Pelodiscus sinensis: one gene and its partner. The protein of the gene in region 1 interacts with the protein of each later gene in a pairwise test. Links are inferred from orthologs where the notes say so. Each region holds a gene or a part of one and is shown on either strand. Other genes may lie near its edges. The genes, in order: CIB3 and ENOX2.

Region 1 (8,707 bases):
AATGTCATAATGTTCAGTCAGAGCATCCAAGTGTCTGTTGAAATCCTAAGAGGAAAAAAAAAGTAGGCTATAATACGGACATACCTGACCTTGCTATTTCTTTCACTATGTTTATACTTTGCAATTCCAGATCAAACCAGTAGTACAACTGGTACAGTGATAGAAATGTAGCCGTGTTAGTCTGGTGTAGCTGAAACAAAATACAGGATAGTCCTGTATACAATTGGTACCGTATCTGGTCTGCCAATACCAGATAAAAATGGCCTGACTGGGTCAGCCCAATGGTCAATTTCGCCCAGCATTGTGCTTCAGCAATGGCCAATTTCAAGTGCTTCAGAGGGAACGAACAAATTGCTTGAGAGAAAGGGGCAAGAATCCAGAACTCAGACTCAGGGAAGCGACATATGGCGACGGGAGGGAATAAGCCAACACACACAGCCCCTTACCTCCACTCTCTGTTTATGAGTTTTGGAGGCTTTCTTCAGGATCCTCTCCATTTGCTGAAAATGGAACAGACACAGTGAGACCTTCCTTTGGCAGCCGGGAACATACCACGCGCAGCCCACCCTCCGCGGGGGGGGGGGGGGGCTTTGCCTTGGGGCACCCTAGGAAAGCGCATCTCGGCGACCCCCCGCCCCGCCCCCGCGAGGAGCTGCCCCCCTCCTACTCTTTTCTCCTGCGTCTTCTCATAGGCCAGCTGCGCCGGGGTCCGCTTGTCCAGCGCCCGCTTCTTCTCCTCCTCCTGCTTCTTGCTGCTCACGATCTGCTCGCGGATCTTGCTTTTGTCCTTCGCCTTCTTCTTCCTGGAGCAACACAGAGCGGGCGGGGTGAGGCGTGAGGCGTGAGGCGCCAGGGGCCAGGGGCCGCCCCCGCCGCCCCCGGACCGCCGCCGCCCCCGCCCTCCCGGGCCCCCACCCCCGGACCGCCGCCCCCGGACCGCTCACCGCTTCCCCAGCACCGGGGCCGCCCCGCTACCCTTCAGCCGCAGCTGCCCGCGCTGGACGCTCTCGTACTCCGCCATCGCGCGCCGGCCGCGCTCACAGCGCTTCTGGGTCAGGTCGCGTGGGCGGGGCCTCCTGAGGCGGGGCGGGGCCACAGGCGCGGGTGGGGGCGGGGCTCTAAGCCTCGTGCGCAGCGCACGGTGCGCAGCCCCCCCTCTGCCCCCGCTTCAGGGAGCCGGCCTCGGGCGCCCCCTACAGAGCGCGGGCAGCGTTGTGGGGATCCTGGCCCCGCCCCCATGCGATGAGCCGGGGGGGGGGGGGGTTGTGTTGCTCCCCGGTGGTGCCGGTCCCGGTGCCGTGCGGTGCAGGGGCTGCGCTTCCTTCCCCCGGGGCTCCCCCTCCGCCCCATAGGACTGGAACTAGGGCTGTGTGTGGAGGGGGGTTGCTACAGCCAGCGCCAGCCGGCTCTAGGGTTTTTGCCGCCCCAAGCAAAACATTTTTGGCCGCTTTTTTTGTTGGCTTTTACACGTTTGCACTTTGCAGTGGTTTGGTTTTGTTTTGTTTAAAATTGAAAAAAAAAATGAAAACAGAAAATGTGTAGTTCGTGAATAAAACAATTCCCTACTCGTGTACTTATTTAATTTTAACAAATCACAATTACCAACAATTTGGATAGAAATGTAGCCGTGTGAGTCTGGTGTAACTGAAACAAAATACAGGACTATGTAGCACTTTAAAGACTAATAAACAATTTGGGTGCAACTATACATTGTAATGAACAACATTAGTGTCTTCCGGTGTGCCCAGTTTCTCATGAATTAAAAGAATTTATATGAATTGAATTTTTCTGGTTTTTATACTTCTGTAGCCTCAGGAGCGGCCCTAGACGAGCTGCCAGCAACAGGCGTCCTAGGCGAAACGCGCGATCACCGTGTGATTGGCACCCACACCTCCAAAGCCCTCAATGGCCATTTATCTTGGTGCCCTAGGTGACCGCCTAGGTCGCCAGTATTGACGGGCCGCCACTCCGTAGCCTTTCAATAATTGTGTAAAATCGAAATTTTTTGCAACAGTACTTTCAATTGAAATTAATGCGAGTCCTGACAAACGATTTTGAGTCATGGTGAGCTACAAGCATAATCTCAGATACTGACCAACAACCATGGCACCGGGCTAGTCCACTGCCCCCAGCCCTCCCCTATGTACTCTTGCATGTACAAGAGCAGGGCCCGTTCCTTCTGGTTCAGAATCACTTGTCTTCTCCTGGCCAATGCAGTGCTGTCCCAGCATCAAAATTGTTTAGCAGCTCTGGCTATCCTTAGCCTCATTATGCTTGTCCCTTAGGGCCAGGCAGATATTTCTCAAGCGCCATCCTTCCATTTGGTCTGGACAGTTGTCACGTCTCACTCGTGTTGCAAATCTCACAATCCTTTGGTGTTTCTTAAAGCTCCAGATGCTGGAGTCAGGAAGTAACATTTTAAGTAAGTTTCTAGCCCTGATGGTTGCCTGGAAAAATATAACAGACTCTAATAGGTCAGAAACCAAAGGCAAATAAGAAAAAAATAACTACCCCAAACTGAGTATATTTTTTTCGAAATCTCATGATTTTTGTGGCCTGACTCATGACTGTGGAATGCATAAGTTTGACAATACTTTGAAAGGCACTAATAATATAAAGATGGTGGGACCCTGGTTGGCCGGAGCAGCCCCATAGCACCACGCCGCAGGACCCCAGCTGGCCAGAGCAGCCCCCGCCTGCTGTTTGGACCCTGGTTAACCGGTTAAACCATTAAAATTATATTATTTAACCTCTTAACTTTTTAAAGCAGGTATTTACATCCCTAATCTGCATACAATCTATTTTTGGGCCTGAATACCACCTGTTCTTCTCGAAGCTTTGCATCCATGGCTTCTTTCATCCTGTGTAGTGTCACACTGCAGAAGATTCAGGAACATATAGAAATCAAAGATATAGGGTCCCAGAAAAAAACCCAATAAATTTCAATTCAAATGTAATCTCAGAGCTAACAGACGGCCGTGAGAGCTGGAGATCTTCTCATACATTAGACAGAAAAATAGATGCCTTTGAAAATAAGCACTTTAAAGACTAACAAGATGGTTTATTAGATGATGAGCTTTCGTGGGCCAGACCCACTTCCTCAGATCAAATAGTGGAAGAAAATAGTCACAACCATACATACCAAAGGATACAATTAAAAAAAATGAACACATATGAAAAGGACAAATCAAATTTCAGAACAGAAGGGGGATGTGGAAGGGGGAGGGGAAGGTAAATGTCTGTGAGCTAATGGTATTAGAGGTGATAATTGGAGAGGCTATCTTTGTAATGGGTAAGATAGCTAGAGTCTTTGTTGAGCCCCCCACGTAGAGTGTCGAATTTTAGCATGAATGACAGTTCAGAGGATTCCCTTTCAAGTGCATATTTAAAAGGCTTCTGAAGCAGGATGCAGGTAATTAAGTCGTTGAGACAGTGTCCTTTCTGGTTGAAATGGCAAGAAACTGTTTTTTCTTTGTGATCCTGTCTAATATCTGTTTTGTGGGCATTGATCCTTTGGCGAAGACGTCTCAAAAACCTCTTGCACAAAAAGCATTGGCAGAGATATGCAAATGACAGTGGGACAAATGCTAATGTGCACTTAATTAGCATACTCTCTGCTGGCAAATACCTGCAGTGTAGACCTAGCCCATCACAGGGAGGACACTGGCTGCTGGTTACTTCCAGCAGCAGACAGTGCTGTACGCCTACTTCCAACCTGCCTACTATGGTGATGGAGAACCATTACGCTGCCCTGGCGATGAGGAATTACTTAAGGTGGAGGAACAATAGCCATGTACCCCTATGGCTGTGAAGTTTGCAGCCACCTCACCCAGGGGGAAACTCAGAATTGTGGCAGCAAGGGAGGTTTAGGCTAGACATTAAGAAAAACTTCCTAACTGAGAGTGGTTAAGCACTGGAATAGATTGCCTAGGGAGGTTATGAATTCTTCATCACAGGGGATTTTCAAGAGCAGGTTAGATAAACATCTGTCAGGGCTGGTCTAGCTAATACTTAGTCCAGCTGTGAGTACAGTGGACAGGGATAGATGGTCCCGTCCAGTTCTGTGAGTCTGTGATTTTTGGATCATGTACTGCAAACGCTGACACAGACTCACACGTGAAGGTGTCAAGTGGAAACCAACCGGTATGAGAAATGAGCATGCATCAGAGAAACCTTAGCAGGGAGGGCTGAATAGTCAATCCCCAAACTATGGAGCAGCCCAGGCCATCCCTAACAGGGCATGGGGCTCAGGACAACCCCCCCCCCCCCATCCTCCACCCCAGACCTTGCCCGCATCCACCTCTTCCTGCCCTTTTCTGTCCCTGCCCCATTTGACTCCTTCCCCAAACTTCCACCCCTTCTCCACCTCTGTTCTGCCTCTTCTCACCCTTGCCCTGCCCCCATTCTGCCTCTTCTCGAGTGATGCCAGGAGCAAGTGGAGTGGAGCAGGGACAGTCATGCTGCCATCAGCCCTGGCGTCACCCAAGACCTGTATGTATGTCCCCTGAAGTGCGGGACATCCCGAAGTGTGGGCCCTGGGTGATTGTCCTGAACCATCATATGGATAGCTCTGGAAGCAGCAGCACACGACAGAGAGGAATGATTTCTCCATTAAGTGCCAACGCTGGCATGGGATGGATGTTAAAAAATGAGGAAGAGCTTAAATATAGTATTGCTATACACAGTGAAAAATACAGCACAGTATTAACATATGATGTAGAATGTGTATTACAATGAACATTAAGAAAAGGACTCAGGACCATACCTACTGTGATTCTTTTTTAAGGTGAATTGCTGAATGTTGAAGGAAGAAAGACTTTTTGTATATGTGAATTTAATTGATGGAAGCATAAAACTAAAATCCATACTGTCCCCTATGTAGCACAGAGACAAGGGATAGAAATTGTGTTAGTTGTTTGTGAAATGCTGTAATATGAGTCTCTGCAGAGCACACAGGAAGCAAATGAATGATGCTGTATGAGAGTCTTGTGTATTCAGACTAAAGATTTGATGAAATGCTCCTATTATGATTCTGAAATCTATGGAGCAGGGAAGGTGGTTGGTTACCTGATCCTCCTCTGTCTGAACCTCATTGTTGCAGCTTTTCATATCTCAATATTCAGCCTTCCTGTAAAGGTAACGTAACGGGAAAGAGTTATGGGACAAGAATCAGGATTTAGAGACAGAAATGGGCAATAAGCAAACCATTTTCACTCCAGAGCAGCTGGATGCGTATCAGGTAAGAACAAATAAAAGACAAGTTAGACACAATGCCAGGAAATGGCAGGTTGTTTTAAAGCAGTCTCCAGCACTTAGTTTCATGGTGCTAAACAGGAATATGAAATACTATCTGAAGTCTTTAGAGTAAATGGTTTATGGCTGTTTAATATTCCTTTATCTTCTTTTAAGAGAGAAAAAACTGTCAAACATGACTCTATAGTTGAACAGAAAGTTTATAAAGGTTGGGCCAGCTTTATCCATAATATGAGTCAAGTGAAATTAGTGCACTTGTACAGAAAAGAATTTGGGCTAGTGTTTAAAATAAAAAAGCAAAAATAACTCACCATCACATCTTCTATCTTTCCATATTTTACAGGATTGCACATTCTTTACAAGGAAAGAAATTCTGAGGTGCGTCTATATTTTTTGTCTGTAAAACTATAAGGAGATTATTAAAAAGTAAGGCCACTCATCTAGTAATCTTAGTAATCTTTTTATTAAGTTTTAAATAGGATTTAATATGGCATTATTGCGATAAGTGAAGTAGACACACACACGCACAAAAATCATGTTCAATGTCGTTAGTTAAGCCAAAAATCTATAATTCTATTAACATGCCAGCTACTCCCATGTAAAACACTATAACAAGTTACATCTAATACTCTGCTAGGAGGCCCCATTCCCCTCTACCTGGTTTATAACAAGTGCTACACAGACTATTGCTACCATCTATTTGATTAAATGCTTTCTGACTAGTGTATTATCTTGTTCTATTGTCTTTATATTATAAGTTCAGAAATATTTATGTGCCATGAAAATTTAATTTCTTAAAGGTAACTATAATTTCTTAGATGTATATAAATTTGAGATATAAAAATGTTATTCATGCCTCTATTTACTCTCTTTACAAAGCAGGATTGTTCTAGCTTTTAAATGATTATGCTTTGACCCTGCAGCATGCTGTTTTCCATGATTTACGTTGGCTTCATTTTGTTTGCCCATGAAAACAGAGCTAAAGCTAAAGTAAAAACTTTTTACCTTTGCCTTGACAATCCAGTGCTGTCCACAGAGCAGCTATTGTTTTGTGTCACTTTTTGCATCTGCATTTATGATATTTTCCGGAGACATTTTTACAAGCCCCAAATCCCATGAAACAAGATTAGAGATTAAATTATTTCACAAAAATGATTCCACAGTAAACATGGCCGGATCAAAGTAGCCTAAAAACTTTAGCTGAGACAACATGATGCTGCCCACTAGCTTTATGTGTAAAAAGCTGTGGTGATATTTTGAAGCCTGGTGCCTCATTAGAGCACAAGGCCTAAGTTAGCCTGAATCACTCATTTCCAGAAATTTTGGAACCTCTTCCAAGTAAATAGTACATCTAGGCCAAGCCATTGACCATTAGTCATCTAGCCACAAGAGGCTGAAGAGGAAAGGCTTAGTGCAGAGGTGGGGAACCTACAGACTGTGAGGCAGATCTGGGTCCTGCATTGCTTTGATCCAGCCCATGGTGAGGCTTGGGGCTTCCCCCCCAGCAAGGCAAGCCAGTGCTCATGCTCCAGCCCCATGGCAAATCTCCAAGCTTTGGTGCCCCCCTGCAAGGCTGAAGCATGAGCGAAGCCCCGGCATCCAGAGTTGAGTGTGTGGGAAGTTTTTTTTTTTTTTTGCTTCTCACTTGAGTGTGATTCACAACTGATTTTTCTGTGGGTCAGTGGCCACTGACCAAAAAAGGTTCCCCACCCCTGGCTTAGAGATTTGTAACACACTGGCTGAGGGATCAAGAGTCCTAACTGGCAACTGGAACCTGGTCTCCCAGTGCATCACCGAGTGAACTTTGGCAGGCGTTGGCACTCCTGTGTCTAAACTACATCCCTTTTCTCAAAAAAGGGATGTAAATTAGACACTTCAAAATTGCAAATGAAGCCAGGATTTAAATTTCCCGTGCTTCATTTGCATAAGGGTGGCCATGGGTTTTTTTCGAAATGGGGCTTTTCGAAAGAAAAACAGCTGTTTAGACAGGCATCTATCGAAAATAAAACCCTTTTTCAGAAGATCCTGTATTCCTCTGAGGGTTTTATTTTCGATAGATCCCCGTCTAAACAGCCGTTTTTCTTTCGAAAAGCCCCATTTAGAAAAAAACTGCAACCACCATTATGCAAATTTAAATCCTAGCTTCATTTGCGATTTTGAAGTGTCTAATTTACATCCCTTTTTCGTTTTGTAGTTTAGACACAGCCCATAAGAGTCTGTTCCACCGGACTTGATTGTAGAAGTCAGCTTTTGTTTCCTATTTGTCATGTAGCAAATTAATCAGCAGAAACATTTCCATTTCCTTCCCCTTTCTAAGGCTGATCTTGCACAACATCAGTGTGCCAAATCTTTTGCTGAGTAGAGTGCAGAGACAATTTCATAAGACGACTGCCCTTCTCCACCAGACCCTGATCTCCTACTCTGCCCATCTTGGTCTCTGTTTATCAGTGCTCCACAGTACAAAATGCAAATGAAATTAATAAATTAAACTAAGCCTGGTTGTGTTTTCATGTATTTAATAGAGGCCAAGACCATAATTATATCACAAATAAGGCATTTATAATTGATAGGAAACCTTTAGAAAATTCTGTCTTCTTGTTTGATACCATTTTCATGGGTGACAGTATGAATGAGCTCCTCAGTCTAATGCGACACTGGAAGTAAATTGCATTGAGAAGAAAAGAAACATATTTAGGGGTCAGTTTATAGCTCTTCCCTTCTCTTCGTTCTGAGTCCCTACAAAATCAGTGGGAGGTTTGGGTGGGCAACAAAAGGCAGGATGGAGCCCCATATTTGAAGGGTAAAACAAACCCATTTTTTAAAAGCTTAAAGATGAGAAAAAAAGGTATCTAAGGAAACAGGGTTGAGGACAATCCCCCCAATGGGTGGACTAGATGGTCCAGGAGGTTCTCTCTATTTCTAGCTCCTGTGGGTTTGCCTGCATGTTTTTGCAGGGGAAAGAGGTACGCTCATTTCAAAGGTAAGGTAGGCTTAAAATACTTTCATTATTGAACCCCCCATTCTTAATTCCCCTGAGATCTTTTGAAGATCACTTATTTTCATCACATTGGTCCCTTCTGTCCTTACAAATCTATGGCTGGCTGTGTCTACACTGGGCCACTTATTCCGGAAAATCAGCCACTTTTCTGGAATAAGCTGCGAGCTGTCTACACTGGCCCTTGAATTTCCGGAAAAGCAACGACACTCTACTGTACAAAATCAGCCGCTATTCCAGAAAAACTATTCTGCTCCCGCTCGGGCATAAGTCCTTATTCCGGAACTTTGAAGTAGGAATAAGATCCTCCGGAAAAGGGCTTTTTTTCCGGAGGATCGGGGCCAGCGTAGACGCTCTTTTCTGGCTTTTCTAAAAGCAGGAAAAAAGCGGCGAACATTTTTATTTAAATGCCGCGGGGGATATTTAAATCCCCCGCGGATTTCCCTATTACGACCTGTG
Region 2 (7,553 bases), on another chromosome or scaffold:
GTTACTCATCAACCTTCTGGAAAGCACTCTGAAGTCAATGCAAAACAGTGACAGATTGTAGGTCTCAGCTGCTTCTGGGCCCAGCCATTAGGTGTTCCTCGTATCTAGGAGCCTTGGTTTGCTTAGTGCTCACTGTGTTAATGGCTTTAGTTAAGTGGTGAGATCTCATTTAGCCTGTCCTGTCGCCGGAGTAAACACCCTGAGAAAACTCATTTTTCTTTAAAAAAAAAATTACATTGAAAATCTTTAAAACCAGTTTTTAGTTAAAAGCTAAAAGTTAACTTAGTTTTCAAAAGTTATGAAAATGGACTTGCAACAAAACCCATTTGGGTCCTTTGTTCCACATTTAATTGGGTTGTGTTGCCCTGACAAACTGAGGGGGGGGTCACTTCTGCCCCCCTTTCTTCTCTTATCAAGCTCAACTGAGGAAGTAGGTTTTGCCCATGAAAGCTCATATCGTGTGTGTGTGTGTGTGTGTGTGTGTGTAAGGTTCCACAGGACTACTCATTTTTATAGTTAGACTAACACAGCTCCCTCTGAGACTTTCTTCCCATCTGCTACTCTTTTTACAGCACCCTGGATAGCTCCTTGGAGTAGGATTTAGCAGCTTCAGTGGACACTGATAAGGTTCTTCCAGCCTATAATAAGCCTCAATATAGGCTCGGAAGAATTTGTTTCATCTTAACTATTTCCACCGTCATTTGTCTCCATCAGCACTCAAGTCTCTGCACTTCTCTCTTTTACAGCCCTAGGTACCAGAAAACCAAGGGGATCTGTGTGGGCTTTGGGAAATTTAGGATTGTTTGGAGGCTGACAGTGAGCAAGACCGGTGTAGAATGGTAATTATTCATTTACTGCTTGATCTGTCCTTGCGTGCTGCCGCCCTTTAGCAGGGTTTGAAATTTGGAGAAGTCAATGAGCCTTCCTGGTAGAATGAGGAATGTTGGCCTTTTGTTTCCTTGGGGGCTGACAAGTCTGACTGCCTCAGAACTGAGCACTGGACACCCTGAATGTACTGATGGCCAGGGCAGACATTGGTTGATGGTTGCAAAGCAGTTCCAGACTATTTGAGAAAGAAAGCATGCAAAATGCACATAGCCCTATTCAGTGAAACCGAACAATAGTTTTTCAAAGCATTTGTTGGACTGAAAAGGTTATGTACAATTGTAGCATAGCTTGGATTCTCAAATTAAAAATAGAAATTAGTCTGTTTGGATACAGAGGCAACAAGGGGGAGGCTTATTGGTTAATTGTGTCATTGACTACACGCTGACATCCCTAGTTGTGACATGTTAATTACCACAAGAGGGCACCCATGTTCTGGACAAATGTCTTCATTTGGTGAATCTCTTGGTGATTTGGCAAGGGTGAATATACATTTTGGAAATCATTTTTTGATGGTGTGTGGCTCAATCTCATTCCATGCTTGATGAAACCAGTATATTGCATCCAAGCATAAAATCCTTTTCAAAAGCATTGGAGCCAGTGAAGTTACATGAGATTCTATTTGATGAAGAATACATTGAATTTGTCTTTTCTGAAATTGCCATTGCACAGCTTGAAGGTTTCCAGGTGTCTGGCTTTTGACCAGAAATTCCTGTCAAAAAGGAGACCTTTGACAGGGTCTGGTCAAGTGTATTGACTGGACACCAAAAGTCTGGTTAGTGAGGATGGGGAGGAGGCACTGGAGAACCTGCAGCAGCAGCCCCTGCTGAGGAAAGGCTGCCTACTGTCAGTATCTTGTGGGCAGAGGTAGATGGCACAGTGTCATGCTGCTATTCCTCTACCAGCCCCGGACCAGAGGGAGCCCAGTTGCATATGGGAGAGAGATGAAGAGACTTTAAGGAAGAGTGGGAGGAATGGGGGCTTGGAGGGAAGAGGTGGGTTAGAGGCTCTGGTTTTCAGAAAGCTGGCAACCCTGGTCCTGTGAAGCAGAGTTTAATGTTTGTTTGCAAAGGAGGAGGCATGGGGCATTATCCACAAACAGAATCTTATATTCCTGTGGTAGTGATCTGTGCTCAAATCTTGGTAGCCATTTTTCAAAATGTTCTGAATTCATCCATGCTTTTTTATTTAATTCATATTCCACAGGCAACTCCTTGGTAGTCAACTTGCCAAAGCAGGGTGGGTGTTGGGATTTAGCGACCAGTACGGACTTTTCTTTATCTCCATCCATGCAGTGGGACTGCTCCATGGCTCAACACTTTTGAAATAAAAAACCATTTAATATTTTTCAAATGTCGTGGAAACACTTTATTTTGACACTCACCAGTAACTGTCACATGAAACCAATTTTGCAATGCAAGGTTAGAACCCTGAAAGAGGGTGTTCTAACTACAGCTTGTTGGAATTACAGCTGCAGAGGGGCTGCATTTTGCCTCCTCCTAATCAAGGAGTATTGGATTAAAATGTAACAATGTAATTGTGAAAGCAGGCTCTTTGCTGGCCAGGCCTCTCCTGCGTATTGCCATCAGAGCAAAAGGTCAACTTCCTCTTGATGAAAAACCCTTACATTATGTAACTTAAACACCAGTGAAGAACAGGAACCAAAACCAGACCTAAAAAGTTCATGTAAAGTTCGTGCTGGTTGTGCTGACTGTGCCATGCCCGATAAGGCAGAAAAGGAAAAACAGGAAACCATCTCACCCTCTTACTCCTGTCACTTAACAGACAGGGTCTGCTAGCCTATCACAAAAAGCACGCAAAAGCTTTCTCTATAAAACAGCTTCCCCTCCTGTATCAAATTGAGGAATCCCGAATAAACATTGGATGGTAGAATATGAGCCAGGTCCGAGGACTGATCACCCGAGGGCCACCTCCTGCTCACCGAACCAAATGAGTTCCTGTAGAGTGTAATGTATACCAAACATAACGTATACCAAATATGTTGTTGTTGTTGTTGTAGTTTGTGTGTCTGTTAAATGTAAGTATTGTTATCTGAAATTGTTTAGAGGTATGGTTAAGTAGTAGTGTTAAGAGTTTTAGATAAATGATTAGTCTGATAAGTAAGACTGATGTAAATGTAACTGTTAATAATCCCTGGTCCCTTGTTAACAACTATTGGGATTTAGAGAAACCTCAAGGAATTTTCTTTACTGTATTGCATTGTGCTTATTAGTCATTCTAATAATTGATAAAATAATTTATATGCAGAAGTGCCTTAATAAAAGTTTAAAAGATATTTAGTAAGAGTTTGCCTGTTTCTGCGCCTCCCTGGGACTAGCCGCATTCCCGAGCCTTTGACTTTATTCCACAGTAAGGAGGAGGCGTAAGATGCCCACAGAGCTGGGCAGCGAGAGGGTGCTGGCCAGGCGCCCAGCTCTGAAGGCAGCTCAGGGCCAGGGGCAATGTCGGACCCCGGCGCGGGGGGGGGGGGGGCAGTGCCGGACCCCGGCGCGGGCGGGGGGGGGGGGGCAGTGCCGGACCCCGGCGCGGGGGGGGGGGGGGCAGTGCCGGACCCCAGCGCGGGGGGGGGGGGGCAGTGCCGGACCCCGGCGCGGGGGGGGGGGGGGGCAGTGCCGGACCCCGGCGCGGGGGGGGGGGGGGCAGTGCCGGACCCCAGCGCGGGCGGGGGGGGGGCAGTGCCGGACCCCGGCGCGGGCGGGGGGGGGCAGTGCCGGACCCCGGCGCGGGGGGGGGGGGGCAGTGCCGGACCCCGGCGCGGGGGGGGGGGGGCAGTGCCGGACCCCGGCGCGGGGGGGGGGGGGCAGTGCCGGACCCCGGCGCGGGGGGGGGCACTGCCGGACCCCGGCGCGGGGGGGGGGGGCAGTGCCGGACCCCGGCGCGGGGGGGGGGGCACTGCCGGACCCCGGCGCGGGGGGGGGAGGCCCGCGTGCCGAGGGGCCGAGCGCTGCGGGGCGGCGGGTTCCGATGTCGGCAGCTAAATCTCGACACTTACCGTTGTGACGCCCCGGGCCTGCGACACGGACCGAGCGCCCCGCCGTGACTGGGGCTGCGGCCCCGCCTGGCGAGCCCTGAGGCGGGGCGCTTAACACCCCTCCCCTCCAGTGCGCTGCCTCCCTGTGTCAGGCCCGGGCGCGCGCCGCAGAGCCTGGCTGCCATGGCAACCCGCCCCGAGCTGGCCTGAGGCGGCGCCAGTCCCGCTCCCGACGCCCCGCGCGCCGGTCTACGTCACCCACCAGGCCTCGCGCCCTAACGGCCAATCAGAGCACGCGTCCAGCGGCTAGGCAACGGCCGTACCCGGCATGCCTCGGGGCGCGGAGCCGGGCGGCCAATGGGCGGCGCAGGCGAAGGGGGCGGGGCTGTCGCGCGGCGCTGGGCCCGGGCTGAGGGGCGGACGAGCGGCGGATGTATAAGGAGTACCGGGGCGGCGCGGCCCGGCGGCCGGCAGGTGAGGACCCCGGGGCGGACCCCTGCTGCTGGCCAATGGACAGTGACCTCCCTCCGCGTGCCCTGGTTCTGGGAGAGCCCCCCCCCCCTGACTCGGGGGCAGTGCCGCGACGTGGGGCGCCCCCCCGCCCCCCTGACTCGGGGGCAGTGCCGCGACGGGGGGCGGCCCCCCCCGCCCCCCTGACTCGGGGGCAGTGCCGCGACGTGGGGCGGCCCCCCCCGCCCCCCTGACTCGGGGGCAGTGCCGCGACGTGGGGCGGCCCCCCCCGCCCCCCTGACTCGGGGGCAGTGCCGCGACGTGGGGCTGCCCCCCCCCCGCCCTCCTAACTCGGGGGCAGTGCCGCGACGTGGGGCTGCCCCCCCCCGCCCTCCTAACTCGGGGGCAGTGCCGCGACGTGGGGCTGCCCCCCCCCCCCCGCCCTCCTAACTCGGGGGAGGTGGTGCCGCGACGTGGGGCTGCCCCCCCCCGCCCTCCTAACTCGGGGGAGGTGGTGCCGCGACGTGGGGCTGCCCCCCCCCCCCGCCCCCCTGACTCGGGGGCAGTGCCGCGACGTGGGGCTGCCCCCCCCGCCCCCCTGACTCGGGGGCAGTGCCGCGACGTGGGGCTGCCCCCCCCCCGCCCTCCTGACTCGGGGGCAGTGCCGCGACGTGGGGCTGCCCCCCCCCGCCCCCCTGACTCGGGGGCAGTGCCGCGACGTGGGGCTGCCCCCCCCGCCCCCCTGACTCGGGGGCAGTGCCGCGACGTGGGGCTGCCCCCCCCGCCCCCCTGACTCGGGGGCAGTGCCGCGACGTGGGGCTGCCCCCCCCGCCCCCCTGACTCGGGGGCAGTGCCGCGACGTGGGGCGGCCCCCCCCGCCCCCCTGACTCGGGGGCAGTGCCGTGACGTGGGGCGGCCCCCCCCGCACTCCTAACTCGGGGGCAGTGCCGTGACGTGGGGCTGCCCCCCCCCGCCCTCCTAACTCGGGGGCAGTGCCGCGACGTGGGGCTGCCCCCCCCCGCCCTCCTAACTCGGGGGCAGTGCCGCGACGTGGGGCTGCCCCCCCCCCGCCCTCCTAACTCGGGGGCAGTGCCGCGACGTGGGGCTGCCCCCCCCGCCCTCCTAACTCGGGGGAGGTGGTGCCGCGACGTGGGGCTGCCCCCCCCCCCCGCCCTCCTGACTCGGGGGCAGTGCCGCGACGTGGGGCTGCAGAGGAGCTGAGTTCCGGTGTGTGCTTGGGCGCTCTGCTCAGCCGTATGTACCTGCCTTTCCTTACCCCTGTATCCACAATGTCCAGCAGATCCTCTGTGCACCTCCATAACAGGTGTGCATGTTGGATTTTTCTCTCTCATTTTCAGCCTTGGTTTCACTGCCTTGGCTGCTTCTGTTGGGTCTTGCCCCTGAAAGGCAGTTCGTGTGTCACAGCCCTACATGCCCCTCAGGCTAACCTAGCTTTAAAACTTCTTAGCTTAACCAAATAAACTTCTATAGATTTCTTGGCGCTAGCTTTGCCCTAGAGGTCTCAACTCTCTCAAGATCCCATTCTTGTAGAGAAGATCCATTTTTTATGGGTTCTGTGTCAGTTTATCTCCAGAAATAATGCTTGTGATAAGACATTGCAAGAAGAGTGTAAACATGACACTATTTTAAACTAAACTATTTTGTAACTTTTACATAATTAAGCCGTGCATATTGGTCTCCTTATGGCAAATCTCAATATTTTAGACCAGAAATTAAAATTCTTGGACAGGTGAGAATGAAGTTGTCTTTGGCAATTGTATAATAATGGATAACGTGAAGATGTGGGTATAAGTTGCAAGACTACAAAACAACAGTAGGGAGTCGAAGGACAGTGTAAGGGTTAAGGGGTGAAAAAGCTGTGTAATTATGGGATACTTCAATTTGAGTGACATGCTGAAGGTCAGAACTGTCCTGTATATAGGACTAATTGGAGCAGTTGCCCGAGGTCCTGCACTTTTGGGGGCCCCTCAGTGGCTGCTCCAACTGTCCTATGAGCAAAAAGGACTGGGAGTTATGGGGGCCTTCAGCAGGGGTCGTTTCCCCCTCTGCATTCATCACATGGGTGGCAGGAGCCGGAGCAGCCTGGCAGCCAGCTCTGCCCTGCCAGAGAAACACTGATTCTTTTAAAAAAGATATGGGCAGGATCACAGCATGTAATAGAGATGTTTCAGTCCTAGAGGCAGTACTGACTTGTTTGTATCTGGGTCTAAAGATGTATCTCAGAAGGAGTATCTTTGCCCAGCAGAGAGGGAAATGGTTCTTGTACTCAGTGAATGGTTTGCTTGAAGTCTGCCATGCCAGCTGTCATATTGGGGTCATTAGTGTGCTCAGGTGTTGATAGACATTTAGCTATGTGTGTTCTCTCTGGGCCACCCCAGCTCTGTGCAGACAGCTGGTGGCACAGCAGGCCTCAAGTGAACCACCCAATGATTACAAGATCTGTGAAGAGACAAGGCCTGAAATTATAAAAGGCAGGGTCACCCCAAGATGTTCCTGTCTTTCCTGTGCATCACATTCAGCACACCCAAAGAGACAGAGGAAGCAGCTGTTGGAATCTCTGTAGGTCAGGACTCCTCTCCCAGTTTGGTCAGTAAGACTGCTGAAAGCATGGGGCCAGAGTCTGTTTGAAATCTAACATAGGTTAAATAAGGCAATTAGTATTTTATCTTTATTTTTCTTATAACCATTTTTGACTTATGCTTCATTATTTGTACTCACTTTCTCTTTGTGGTTAATACACTTGTTTTATCTAATCCAGTGTGTTCAGTCTGAAGAGTGGGGGTAACTCCATTGGGGTAACAAGTTGCATACACATTATTTTCTTAAAGGAATAACATTTAAAGTAATGTGTACTGTAATGTGTACTGTCCTGGACTGTGCAGGACATAGATTTCTGGGTAGAAATCTGACTGGGAGCATGTTAGGGTCACTCCATGATGCTCTTTAAGGCTGATAAAAGGTGTGGCTGTCTGCAGAACACACAGAGTTGGCAGTGGCTTACATGCTGGAGGCTGTTTGAGAGCTGTCTGGGTTGGTGGCTACAGCAGCAAAGCATTGCAAAGGGCACCCCAGAATAGAGGGCAGGGGTGGTGACGCAGCTACTTAGTCTGAATTGTACTCTTGTGTGTCACAGTCCTTGTTCTGGTTCAAATGTATCAGAAAATTTCCCTCTGGTGGTGGTGATCAGCTGATGTGAGAAACTGCA

What was found.
Region 2: the proteins of CIB3 (region 1) and ENOX2 interact in binary tests that used the Homo sapiens proteins (3 or more experiments, as listed by UniProt). The two-hybrid records come from large-scale screens. The link is inferred for Pelodiscus sinensis from reciprocal best matches to the Homo sapiens genes CIB3 and ENOX2.

The regions. Positions count from the first base shown.
Region 1 is NC_134729.1:31,362,197-31,370,903, forward strand, and holds the start of CIB3 (calcium and integrin-binding family member 3), read left to right. Parts: upstream 1-5,188; coding exon 5,189-5,239; intron 5,240-5,596; coding exon 5,597-5,631; intron 5,632-7,948; coding exon 7,949-7,954; intron 7,955-8,214; coding exon 8,215-8,238; intron 8,239-8,707. Other genes in the region: protein FAM32A-like, read right to left, coding at 1-45, 447-500, 668-803, 945-1,021. UniProt on the Homo sapiens protein: Acts a an auxiliary subunit of the sensory mechanoelectrical transduction (MET) channel in hair cells. Plays a role in regulating hair cell MET channel localization and function.
Region 2 is NC_134723.1:2,336,125-2,343,677, forward strand, and holds the start of ENOX2 (ecto-NOX disulfide-thiol exchanger 2), read left to right. Parts: upstream 1-4,198; 5' UTR 4,199-4,308; coding exon 4,309-4,351; intron 4,352-7,553. UniProt on the Homo sapiens protein: May be involved in cell growth. Probably acts as a terminal oxidase of plasma electron transport from cytosolic NAD(P)H via hydroquinones to acceptors at the cell surface.